3 linked regions of the Oryzias latipes genome follow. The main gene of each other region encodes a partner of the protein of the gene in region 3 in a complex. Links are inferred from orthologs where the notes say so. Each region holds a gene or a part of one and is shown on either strand. Other genes may lie near its edges.

Region 1 (4,364 bases), on a different chromosome or scaffold from region 3:
TGTTTTTTACGTGGCATGCGCTTCGTACGGAGCTAGCAGCGCCTTTGAAATGCCATGCTCCCCCCATTGCACGGTTAACAGAGCATGACAAATGATAGCCGCTGCTTTCTGTCTTTGTAATAAAACGCCTAATCTGTTAATACAAAAGTATCTTTGTGTAATCTTACTGTGTAGTTCTTAATCATCAGTATATAAACAACAATGTTCAAATAAACATGTAACTAATAAACATAACTTACAAACAATTACTAATAGTATTTTATATATATATATATATATATATATATATATATATATATATATATATATATATATATATATATATATATATATATATATATATATATATACATACATACATACATATTTTATAGGTAGATCTTCAAGACATTGTCGATTCAAAAGTACCCCTGCACTAGACAGTGCGCTTAACCATTTTTCTTGAATGATTTGTGATCATCACTGGTGTCCATGGATTGCATGAAATCTTTCCACCTTTCTCATGGTAGGAATAACACGTCAATGTAAGGGTGGCGTCATCTAAGATAGCACAAGGATTAATTGTCTTGCTTTTAGTAATTCATTGTCAGATCTTCTGTTAGCCTTTTGTTTCTCCCTTAGTTTATAGTTTTGTCCTGTCTACCTTTATTTATTGAATGTTTATGTTTTTGCTACAAGCCTGACCTATTTTAGGCTTTTCCTCCACTGGGCCCTAAAACAAAGGTATGAAAGAGAATAAAACAAGACCTGAAGAACTTGTGACTCAGTCATTTCTAGAGTTTTCAAAATTATTAATTAATTATTACTTATTCATGAATGAAGAAACAGTAAGGGCAAATAAGGGATTTGGCAGTCTATATACTTAATTTGTGACAGACAGACTTTTAAAAAATCCAAGGCATGCAGCATTTTTATATATATATATATATATATATATATATATATATATATATATATATATATATATATATATATATGTTTAACCGTCCTATGTGAAAAATTCAACATTCAACAATATGGCTTAATTGCAGATATTTTTTCTGCTCTATTTGACTTTCTAACTTGAAGTTTTACTGTCAGATTTATATGTTTTTGGTATTTGTTGTTGGTATACCTACACCTTGCCCTGGGACAACAGTTGTAAATAAGTGTTGCAGCTAACGATGGCACATTTATAAAAATAGTAATGATTAATAATAATTTATTATTATTCATTTCTGACTTTTTTTAAAATAATATTATTATTAAATAAGGTATTGTTATAATTATTATCTATTAATTGGTCTAATAAATATAATACATTAAGTTAACAAAATAACTGGATTGCCTAGTTTAAAATAAAAACAAAAAAAAAAGAAGAAGGGGAAAAAAACGTGTATTCCTAAACACACCAGCGCAGTAGCGATTTATCCCACAGTCTCTGAATGCATCACTCTATCACGGCGTCGCTGCACCTTTCAGGTGTTTGTGCTTGAAGCAGAGTCTGTAGAGACATGACAACTCGCCGGCATGGCGGACAGAGAGAAGAAGAAAAGAGCCCCTGCTTCCGGCCGCAGCGTCCAGGTGAAGCCTTCTGCTAGCCGCAGGTGAGCGAACGAGCGAGCCAGCGGAGGATGGACGAGCTCCACGTCCGTCCGTGGGCGCTGGGGGGACGGCTGTTTGAAGAACAGCCATCCTGAGGGCTGCTGAAGCGGAATGAGTGGAGCTGATGATGCCGGGCTCTGACAACCAAAGTAGATGGTTCAGTGTTTGGGCGTGTCTGCTCTCGGGGGACAGAGCCGGTGGGGGCAGCGTTCAGCCTTCACAGGGCGAATGTCGCAACACGTACTTTTTCTTATCTGCTTCAGCTCCCTTAATCCTTGCAGGCCCGTGAATCAGTAGCTTTTTTTTTTTTAATCACACGTCACATCTTGTTATTGTGCATCATTTGCGTCCATTCTCGTATCACCCCACACTCATATTTTGACAAATTCATAAATCTAATCTGTGAATTTTTCCAGCGTTTTAAACAAGCCCAATTCATTTAAATAAACAGAAGTAGTTTGATGTATTTCAGAGCTACCTGGGAGCTAGAAGTGATGTAAATCTCCATCATTATGAAGCTGATTTGTTTGAGGGTCTGTTTTTTGCATGATTCTTATCTAATGACTTCATCATGTTGGCTTTACCAAATCAAAAGCACTTTAAACATAAAAAGAATGCAGAGAAGGTGGATGTGGGAGCTCCAACCCAAGCTTGCATCAGACAGGAGATCACACAGTTCATCTTAGCATTTAAGAGTAAACCAAATGCAAGTGTTGCAGTGTTGGATTACAAGACGAATGATCACAGATCTAATCCATATTCCCCAATGAGAGATGAAAACAAAGGCACACCCAGTGTACAGCCATTCCTTGTCCTACTAAGCTATACGTACAGACCTGGCATTTGAAGTGCATTCCAAATCGCGCCAATTGCTGTTTATGAATGTGTGTTTTATTCCACGGTGGCGCAGTGGTTAGCGCTCTTGCCTCACAGCAAGAAGGCCCCCGGTTCAAGTCCCGGCTGGGGGACATGAAAAACACAACATCAATGGTCGACCTTTCTGTGTGGAGTTTGCATGTTCTCCCCGTGCATGCGTGGGTTTTCTCCGGGATCTCCGGCTTCCTCCCACCTTCCAAAAACATGCTACATAGGTTGATTGGCAACTCTAAATTGTCCACAGGTCTGAGTGTGAGAGTGAATGGATGTGTGATTGAGGATATTCCACCCTGCGACAGACTGGCGACCAGTCCAGGGTATCCCTTGCCTACGCCCAAGTGGCCGGGATAGGCTCCGGCAACCCCGTGACCCCGAAAGGGAATAAACGGTAAAGAAGATGAATGAATGAATGTTTTATTCCATAGTGTTCACACTGGACAAGCAGGGAGGGGCTTCTTCTTATTTTTCTTCTTTTAACTAGTGCATGTTGGCTACACTTGGAGGAGGCTTTGTGCAAAATGTTAGAACGTTGCAAATCTCAGGAATCTTGGAGTCTAAAAAGAGGAAAAATAAATGACAATGAATTATGAAATGATGAGGTTGTGTAATAAATAGCACACCAAGAGACCTTTTTTAAAAATGTTGGAAAGAATTAGAAACTGTTCACAAGTTTCTACTTTGTATTTGCAAGATGTTTATCCATTAATAGAAATTTGATTTCTTTTCCATTTTTATGTTGGTCTTTACAACAACATTCAAAAGGCACACTCAAAGAAATCATTTCTGGAAAACCTATACTCCGGTTTGGATGGTTTGGCGGTTTGACTTTTGGGCTGGGGATACTGGGACTCTATCTGGCAAAGGGAATCTGCTGCACAGAGCGTAATAAACTTGCCATAGTTAGAAAAATCTTTGATACTGACCAGATCTGTGTTTTCTTTCAGTATTTTTTTTTTCTATTGAGGTTTGAACTTTCAGAGTTTACATAAGAGAGAAAAGTGTGAAAATGTTAATATTTGTCTGAGAAAGTCTATAAAGTGTGTATTGAGAAATTTACAGCCTTAAAACATCAGTAAACCTACTTTGCGGATTAAACCCATAGAATGTGGATACATTTATTGCGTGGGGGACCCGATAAACAAGGGAACACCTTACTTACAATCAGGTCATGGTTTTGAGAAGGCGAAGCTTTTTTAAAAAAAAAGCACAGTTAAAGTTAGGTTTATTCTGAGCAAAGACTTTTGGAACAATCCTCTCAGGACAACAAGAGAAATTGTAGATGTTTAGAAATGCAGAGCAGATGTGTGATTGTTGGCTATTTGCTGACTGAAGCACAGCAGCACAAACAACTTGGACTAAAACTGGTCCTTCTTTAAATGCATCACGATTTAGACACAAACGAGTAAGAATTGATGCAAACAATTTAAATATATACATATTTGTGGAAAGTTGTTTTGCAACTAACTGAAGAGTTATTGCAGTTAATACCATTATTGTCTGAAAATTTGTATTCAGCTAATTACAATCTGTAAAGGTGATAGACGTGTATTTAAATTAGCTTTAGACTCCTTACTATATCACATAATGTTAAGTTCAAGACAATATTGTGTTTTTTCCACCAGCGCTTCAAAATCAGAACCTTAACTTAGAAAACCACATTCTCATAAAAATGAAAACAAATGCTTAGAAATTTCAGTGGACTGATGCCAGAAATTCAACATACCACATATCAGACCAATAATTTCAGACTATAGGAGATCAGAAAACTACTATATCAGTCTGTTTGAGCTATTTGTTTTATAGGTTTTTAAAAAATCTAGTTGTAGGATGAAAAATAATTTTCTTTATATTACAACAATTCCAAATGTTTTCACATTTTTTCTCATATCAAAATTTGTAGAAAT
Region 2 (4,256 bases), on a different chromosome or scaffold from region 3:
TTTGTCTTTCGCTGCAGAGCTCTGTTGCTGTGATGCCACAAAGCCCCCTCACACAGGTCACACTGAGAGGCTTCCAGACCAGTGCCATCAGCAGGGACATTGACACCGCCGCCAAGTTCATTGGTGCTGGAGCCGCTACAGTCGGAGTCGCTGGATCTGGTGCTGGAATTGGAACAGTGTTCGGTAGTCTCATTATTGGCTATGCCAGGTTTGTTGCCATTTGGTCACTGTGTACATGTTTTTTTGGGGTACAATTCAAATGTTTTCTTTACATTTATTGACTTCTTTTTGTTTGCAGGAACCCATCTTTGAAGCAGCAGCTGTTCTCATATGCCATCCTGGGTTTCGCCCTGTCTGAAGCTATGGGACTATTCTGTTTGATGGTTGCTTTTCTGATCCTGTTTGCAATGTAAAGCACTGCCCTCCCAACACTTTCATTACAGATGTGACTACATATTTTATTGTGGCTTCTAAAATTGTTCAGTGTTGGTGTCATGGAAATGTAAATTTTTCAAGTCTTTCCGACACAGTCAAAATTAAACAAAACATGTACAAACATAACAATGTGCGTGAATTTAATACATGCATTTGAGTATTTATCAGTGGCAGCAACGTCTATGTCTGGAATATCATGGTAACTGAAAGCAGTTTGCTCTCACAAATGTCAGAACATCTTCTCCCCTTGTGAATCAACTTGCTTTCTGAGAGTTATATGGGGTCCACCGTCATAAGCACTTAACTCAGTTGCAGTTAAGTAGAACTGTAAGAGGCAACAAGTGATTACTTGCTTTTGTAAATCACGTTGAATAAATCTAGATTGAATTATAATTTGGGTTTTTGAATTTATTTCCCGACCCCAACAGGGTTTCGAGGTTTGTCAAATGAATGAGTTGCCACTAAAACGGTCCATCAGAACAAAATTCTCAGTTAAAAAGTAATTGTCATTTGGAAGTCAGTAAATTAGTAATATTTGGCAACAAAGTTGACCAAATGTTTTTTTTTTTTTGTAATATAAATTACCCATGTGGTTTGTTTACTGCTTCAATCAAAAATAGTTCCTTGTGATTTAATTTAATATAGAGTACACGATAATGTTTCTCTAAATTGAATTGTTTTAAAGAAATTTGGCCTTTGAGTAAAAAAGGAATGTTAACTTGAGGTGGTTCCGTAGACTGTAAATAAAGTTGTAATGCAGTAGAAATGATGGCAATTATTTATAAAATATTGAATTTATGGGTAAATGGGTAAATTTATGGGTAAATGGGTTTATTAGTGTCCATTAGTATGTTTACGGCGTTTGGGTTAGTGTGACGTTTACGGAAGAAGAAATTGTTTTCTCGCGATACTTTGGGGTTTGGGAAAACAACGTTTGTGGCTAAAGGGGTAAGTAACAACTCAAATTGAAAGCGAGTTTTATTACAAATGCAAAAAAGGGCACCCTTTATCTGAAATCGGTGTTATTTTCTTCCAAGTGAAATTAATCCCCCTCAAATTAAATACCAAAAGGTTATCTGTTTAGTGATTTGTTGGTTCTAACATGGCGACGGCTGTGCGTTATCTCAGCTCAGGCTGGAGCGGAGGATCGGATCATAATGTAGCTTTTGTTGTGTGATGACTTTAGTCGGAATTAAACGTGAAACTTTTTTTTCCAACAAAAAACATGCATAATTTCTTTGTTCGTGTTGAAAAATACACAATCCGAACGACCACACACCGAACGACCCTGCACTGCATCACCGAGCTAATAAATAAGCACAGACAGAGCAACCCCACCTCCTCACTGGCTTTGTCCAAAATCTTATTTGTCCTTTCACTAGATTTGCCCTTAACAGTCCCACTCGAGTCTCGAGTCATTTCTACTATTATCTAAAAATTAACCCTCTAACCCTCCTTTTGATCAGCCACGATTACGTGGTTGTCTTTTCTGTGGCTGTTGAATTTATTTCTGTTTTAAATGGAAATTAAGTTAATTGAGATGAAATATGTTGTTTTTATTCATTTATTGTAGGACAAAAATATAGCAAGAATTTCTTAATATGAGTGATGACAAACCCTTCCAGTGTACTGCTCCAGGATGTGGACAGGTAAGCTGACATAGTTCTTCATAGTTTTTATTTCTTTTTAGTTAGTGATTCAGTTATTTTTATTTTTTGAAAAATAGAAGGAAAAAAACCAATTCCAATGTGTTGTAAATTTATATGGTGGAGTTGTTGAGCTTACATCTTTACATTCTAGATTATTTAAAAACGTTGAAGGTATTATAATATTACATGTTTTGAGATACGGTAGTTGTATTTCTCCAGAGACTAACTTTAATATATATATATATATATATATATATATATATATATATGCATCAAATATGGTAACCAAATATTTGGGTACTCAATGTGTACATTTTACATACATTTGCTATCTTTGCTGATAATATCGAATAATTCAACTAAAAAACGTAGTTTGTGCATTCTTATCAGACATTTTAAAAGCTGAAGTTACTGTTTGAAGGATTTGTGATTATTTGTGGTACAGATAAATCCACTTAAAAACAGAATCACTGGAGTTAATAAAAGCCTGAGTCTGCATCCAATTTGAGGATTCACAAAAGGGTCAAATAATAAAAAGCATCTCTTTTTTGAAGTCACATCAACTGTTTAATTTCTAGTGCCAAAGTAAAGTTGGCTAAAGGGTAAAAATATGTAATTATTGTGGTAAATGTACGCGCACAGTCACAATAAACATAAAAACACACATTAAGCCTATGTTTATGTTTATTTAGGGTTTGATTTCTTTGGATTTTAGCAATGCACCGTTTACTTTTTGAAATTGTTAGTATTTTAACATATTTAACATTGTGAGTCATTGTTGTCTCTCAAAGGATATGCAGAATAAAGTTGTTTTTTTATTCATTTATTTCCTTTTTACCTTGCTCAGAGATTTACAAATGAAGACCACTTGGCTGTCCACAGACACAAACACGAGATGACACTAAAGTTTGGCCCAGCGAGGACCGACAATATCATAATTGCTGGTGAGTCCTTCTTAAGTTTTATGTCTATAGATGTTTGTGTGTTTTTGCCTCCTTAAGTGTGATTTTTTTCTTCTTTTATCTTTTCTTTTCTCTATTACAGATCAAACGCCGACACCCACTCGCTTTTTGAAAAACTGCGAGGAAGTCGGGCTTTTCAACGAACTTGCCAGTCCTTTTGACCATGACTTCAAAAAAGCAGCTGAAGATGACTTGAAGAAGGTTGAGTTTGTTCTGTAACTTCTGTCAAATCTTCTCTTAGGATGATCTCTGAAGTCCAGAGTTTATATCTGCTTTTTTTCTTTTTCTTTTAACCTTCCCAAAGCTACCTCTGGATTTGTCACCTCTTGCTACACCAGTCATACGCAACAAAACTGAGGAACCCGCAGCTGTAGATGCACATCGGAACAGCCCCCTTCCTCATCCTGAGTCCACCACAAACGATGACAAGGTAGATTTTTTTCTGTTTAGTTAGCTCTCTAATGGGTTTTAGGAGTGCTATTAAACATGAATAATTAAGAATCCTCCTGTTTCTGTAATCATTCATTTACTATAGAAATTGTACTTCTTCTTTCACCTGCTTGAATTCTTCGATTTATTTGTTTTTTATTTTCAAACCCCACTCTCTTTTTTTTTTTTATTCAAACACTGCTCTTAATTTTGATTTGGAAATCCTAAAACCAACCAAAAAAATATTTGCAAAAAGTTCTTGTAACTAACTAAGCTGGTGTTCACTAAACATTTCTGCAGCTAAGGTCTTGTATGATGTTTTCAGGACTTAACTTTGCAGCCTGCCTCACTGCCAACATCCACTATAGTCCATCCTGCATCCCTCCAAGTTCCCAATGTACTTCTAGCAACCACGGACGCTAATGTTGTAATACAGCCAGCTCTCCCATCGCCAACATCTAGCTCTGTTATTACCCAGGTTCCATCCACTAATAGACCCATAGTGTAAGTAACGGAATGCGTCCATTTTTAAAACAAATCTTAGTTTTTAGTTTTTTTTAATCATTTTTGTGTAGTTTTGTGCATTTTGTGAGGCATGTGCTTGTATTTTATGTTTATTTTTTTAATCAATCTGCACTCTGGTGTAAGTCTTTCATTTTGTTGTAAACGCCAAATCAACTGTGAATTCTTCCAATTTTAGCGACATCTTTAAAAAGCTACTCACATTATGTACTGTTCAAAAATATAGATTTATTTTTAGGCTACTATTTTACTTCTAACA
Region 3 (2,915 bases):
ATTGTACGTGCAGGGTGTTTACCTCCAAACTACAGAGTTGGCACCCTTCACCTGTCTTTGATTCCTCTCCACATGTTTTAAAAGGGACTTAAAGTCACCTTGTTACCATGACACCACAGGTAAATGCATCCTTCTCCATCACAATGGAGCACAATGACATGCAGGACTGTGTGCCAGCATTTGGAGAGATAGAGGCAGCGCTCACATTCTGCCAGGAGGGGGTTAAAAAAAAGAGAGAAAGGATTAACCTCTTCCCAGGAAACACATTCATTTCTGACCCCTATTGATCTGTTTGGGCTAGAAACACACACACTCCCACATTTCACTGAGAAAAGACCCCCCAAAAACGTCTGGAGTCGAGTTAGTTTACATTGTACATCCACAGAAGCCTGTATTTTTTTACGCATACAGTGAGATTGTTTAAATCTAGTCATGCAGGACTACAGCGATAGGCGTGGACAACTGAGGGGGCGAGATGTAATGTGGCAAGGTGTGTGATTGTAGGAGGAAAAATAAGAAAACTCCCAGAGTACTGGCCGTCAGTCCCACACCGTCTTCCTTTGAGCTGTACAGAATTACATTATTTACAGGTATTTTAGGGAGCCTCCTGAAGACTCGCTGCGTAAAAACACACAAATCCGACAACCTTCCCTTAATTTGGATGGAGATGATGAGGAACAGTGATTACGTGAAATTAGAATGAAACGTGGTGATAAGAAGAACAGCAGCCCACCTTGCCACATTAAACAAAAATGGAAGGAATATCAGTCTGTCAGCACTGTGCTATATATGAAGAGTTCCTTTGCTTTTGTTTGAATGCCATATACAAGACATGTGGGGTAATATAAGCAAAGCAACTAGAGGATCATAACCATATATCTCATTTACTTCAGCTTAAATACCACTGTTGGTTTTCAATGACAATGCACAGGCTGTTGGGTTTTAGCATTTCATGTTCTGTGTTTCCATAGCTCATGTTTTTGTTCTCAATATAATCATTTTTCCCTTTTTTTGCATTTTTTTTCTTCTTTTTCCTCTGTCGTAGATAGTTCTTCACCGACGGAAGAACGCAGGGTTGCGCAGGCAGGCGGCTAGTCACCTGCAACACCCCAGGGGTCCCGCAGAGGTCTCCAGGCTGCTGTCAGTGTCGGAGGCCAGGGTCTGGTCGGTGGACATGGAGGAGATGTCGTTGATGGAGGAGGACGGAGGGAGGCTCTCGCTGCTATTCACTGCTGCACCTGTGCTAAGGGAATCAACAGCAGAGGGGGGGTTACAACGTAAAAGAGTGCTGGCAGGGGGAGAGATTCTTGTAAGCGCACACGGGGAGGCACCAACGATGAAAACAACAGCCAGGGGGCACAATCACACCATCTACAACAGAGACAAACTGATTAAGGTTTGGGTTCTTTTGGTTCCGCAAGTCAAAAAAACCTTGTTGCCTCATGTATCTTTTACTTTTTTTATAATATATTTATTATAATTAGTTTAGTATTTTTTTGTTATTTTGAGTCTCATAACATTATAAATAATGCTGAACTAGTACTTATTTTTCTACCCTTTAGAAAACAAGCTTTACAATTGTCCAGACTTTTTCTTTTAAAAACAACTTCCTAAAATGTTTTTTTTTTTTTAATTTAAATGGGGAACCTGACCTTCTAAAAGTCCTCACTGCTTGACTTAAATATTTTTCAAAGGTTTCATTGTTCCAGAGCGTTTTCTTGATTTCTCTGGTTTTGGGATTTAGTTCATTAGCTTTCTAAACAAACCATAACCAACATTTTCCTATTCATGTTTATCCTTTTTTTTGGTTTCTAAAGTTTGTTTAATCCATGAGAGTTTTTTTGTTTTGTTTTTTTTTTTTTTTTATTTCAGTCATTTTTCAATAGAATATCATGTAAAGGCTGTGATGCAGATATTTTGCTGATGCAAACACATGAGCCTGGGGGGAGTTCGGGAGGCCATGGAGAAGGACTGAAGTCATCAAAATAGTCAGAAAGCCTCTGGATGGAACTTCGCAGAGGATAGATGAGATTTGCACCAAATGCCTCAGGTTTCTGGGCTGTCTTTGTTAAAACCCCTATGCACAATTGAATCGGTTAGTTCAAAAGGGGCCCAAGTCCAAGAGGTTTGTTTTTCCAGGAAATGATATTAATTGCATAGCTTAAAGGGAGGCTACCCCAAATGATTAATACTTTACCCAGATTTAGCACCAGTTCATAGATTACAAATGCTATAAAATGAAGTACCTCCCTTTTATAATTTCAGTGGACTAACAAACTAATGTCTCTGGACTTGGGCCCTTCTTGAATTAAACAGGGGCGCTGTCATTTTGGATAACTAGTGCTGCCATCTATGGGATAGAGCAAAACCCATGCAAGAGAGGCCCAAGTCCAGGAATTTTGCACTTAATGCATTTTAAATGTCAAACAAAGTCAATACATTACAAAAGACTTGGGACTTTTTTGCACATAATCAGATAGCTTTTCCCTTGAAGACCATAGAACATATAATATCTCTATTTTGAAAAATTGTGGACTTGGGCCCCTTTTGAAACAACCGATTCATTTGTGTGGGGGTTGAGAACAGTGTCTCTGGACTGGAAAATAAGGGGTGGTGGTCCCTTTTTCAAGAAGGGGCATTGGGGAATGACCTCTACTTACAAGTTGATCAAAGGATTTCATATCTGCTTATTGAAAATGATCCTCCTCTGCTGGCTTCACCAAACCAGATTTACTGATCAAGCTAAGACCCTGCCCTCAGCTGCATGGTCATGAGCTTTGGGTCATGATCCAAAACGATAAGGTCCAAGATACCAGTGCATGGGTGCAGGGTGGCTCCCTTAAATATTGGGGCAAGGAATCCAGAAGATCCAGAAAAGTTTACTATCCACTTATTAAACCTGAGATTTCTCATAA

What was found.
Region 1: the proteins of mitogen-activated protein kinase 10 (region 3) and mapk8ip1 are in contact, whole or in part, in a crystal structure (PDB 3PTG), measured with the Homo sapiens proteins. The link is inferred for Oryzias latipes from reciprocal best matches to the Homo sapiens genes MAPK10 and MAPK8IP1. Residues at the interface, in NP_620448.1 of Homo sapiens: Asp150, Ala151, Gln155, Val156, Met159, Leu161, Glu164, Arg165, Tyr168, Leu169, Tyr171, Val197, Lys198, Ser199, Asp200, Cys201, Trp362, Asp364, Glu367; in NP_005447.1 of Homo sapiens: Pro158, Lys159, Arg160, Pro161, Thr162, Thr163, Leu164, Asn165, Leu166.
Region 2: the proteins of mitogen-activated protein kinase 10 (region 3) and atf2 are in contact, whole or in part, in a crystal structure (PDB 4H36), measured with the Homo sapiens proteins. The link is inferred for Oryzias latipes from reciprocal best matches to the Homo sapiens genes MAPK10 and ATF2. Residues at the interface, in NP_620448.1 of Homo sapiens: Asp150, Ala151, Gln155, Met159, Glu164, Arg165, Tyr168, Val197, Lys198, Ser199, Asp200, Cys201, Trp362, Glu367; in NP_001243019.1 of Homo sapiens: Lys48, His49, Met51, Thr52, Leu53, Lys54, Phe55.

The regions. Positions count from the first base shown.
Region 1 is NC_019861.2:7,597,060-7,601,423, reverse strand, and holds the start of mapk8ip1 (C-Jun-amino-terminal kinase-interacting protein 1), read left to right. Parts: upstream 1-1,424; 5' UTR 1,425-1,509; coding exon 1,510-1,586; intron 1,587-4,364. UniProt on the Homo sapiens protein: The JNK-interacting protein (JIP) group of scaffold proteins selectively mediates JNK signaling by aggregating specific components of the MAPK cascade to form a functional JNK signaling module. Required for JNK activation in response to excitotoxic stress.
Region 2 is NC_019879.2:22,381,615-22,385,870, reverse strand, and holds the start of atf2 (cyclic AMP-dependent transcription factor ATF-2), read left to right. Parts: upstream 1-1,307; 5' UTR 1,308-1,383; intron 1,384-2,008; 5' UTR 2,009-2,036; coding exon 2,037-2,084; intron 2,085-2,931; coding exon 2,932-3,028; intron 3,029-3,128; coding exon 3,129-3,247; intron 3,248-3,350; coding exon 3,351-3,476; intron 3,477-3,800; coding exon 3,801-3,979; intron 3,980-4,256. Other genes in the region: atp5mc3 (ATP synthase F(0) complex subunit C3, mitochondrial), read left to right, coding at 18-208, 299-413. UniProt on the Homo sapiens protein: Transcriptional activator which regulates the transcription of various genes, including those involved in anti-apoptosis, cell growth, and DNA damage response.
Region 3 is NC_019870.2:10,340,648-10,343,562, forward strand, and holds part of mitogen-activated protein kinase 10, read right to left. Parts: intron 1,244-2,915; coding exon of another isoform or gene 1,239-1,243; coding exon 1,096-1,238; 3' UTR 1-1,095. UniProt on the Homo sapiens protein: Serine/threonine-protein kinase involved in various processes such as neuronal proliferation, differentiation, migration and programmed cell death.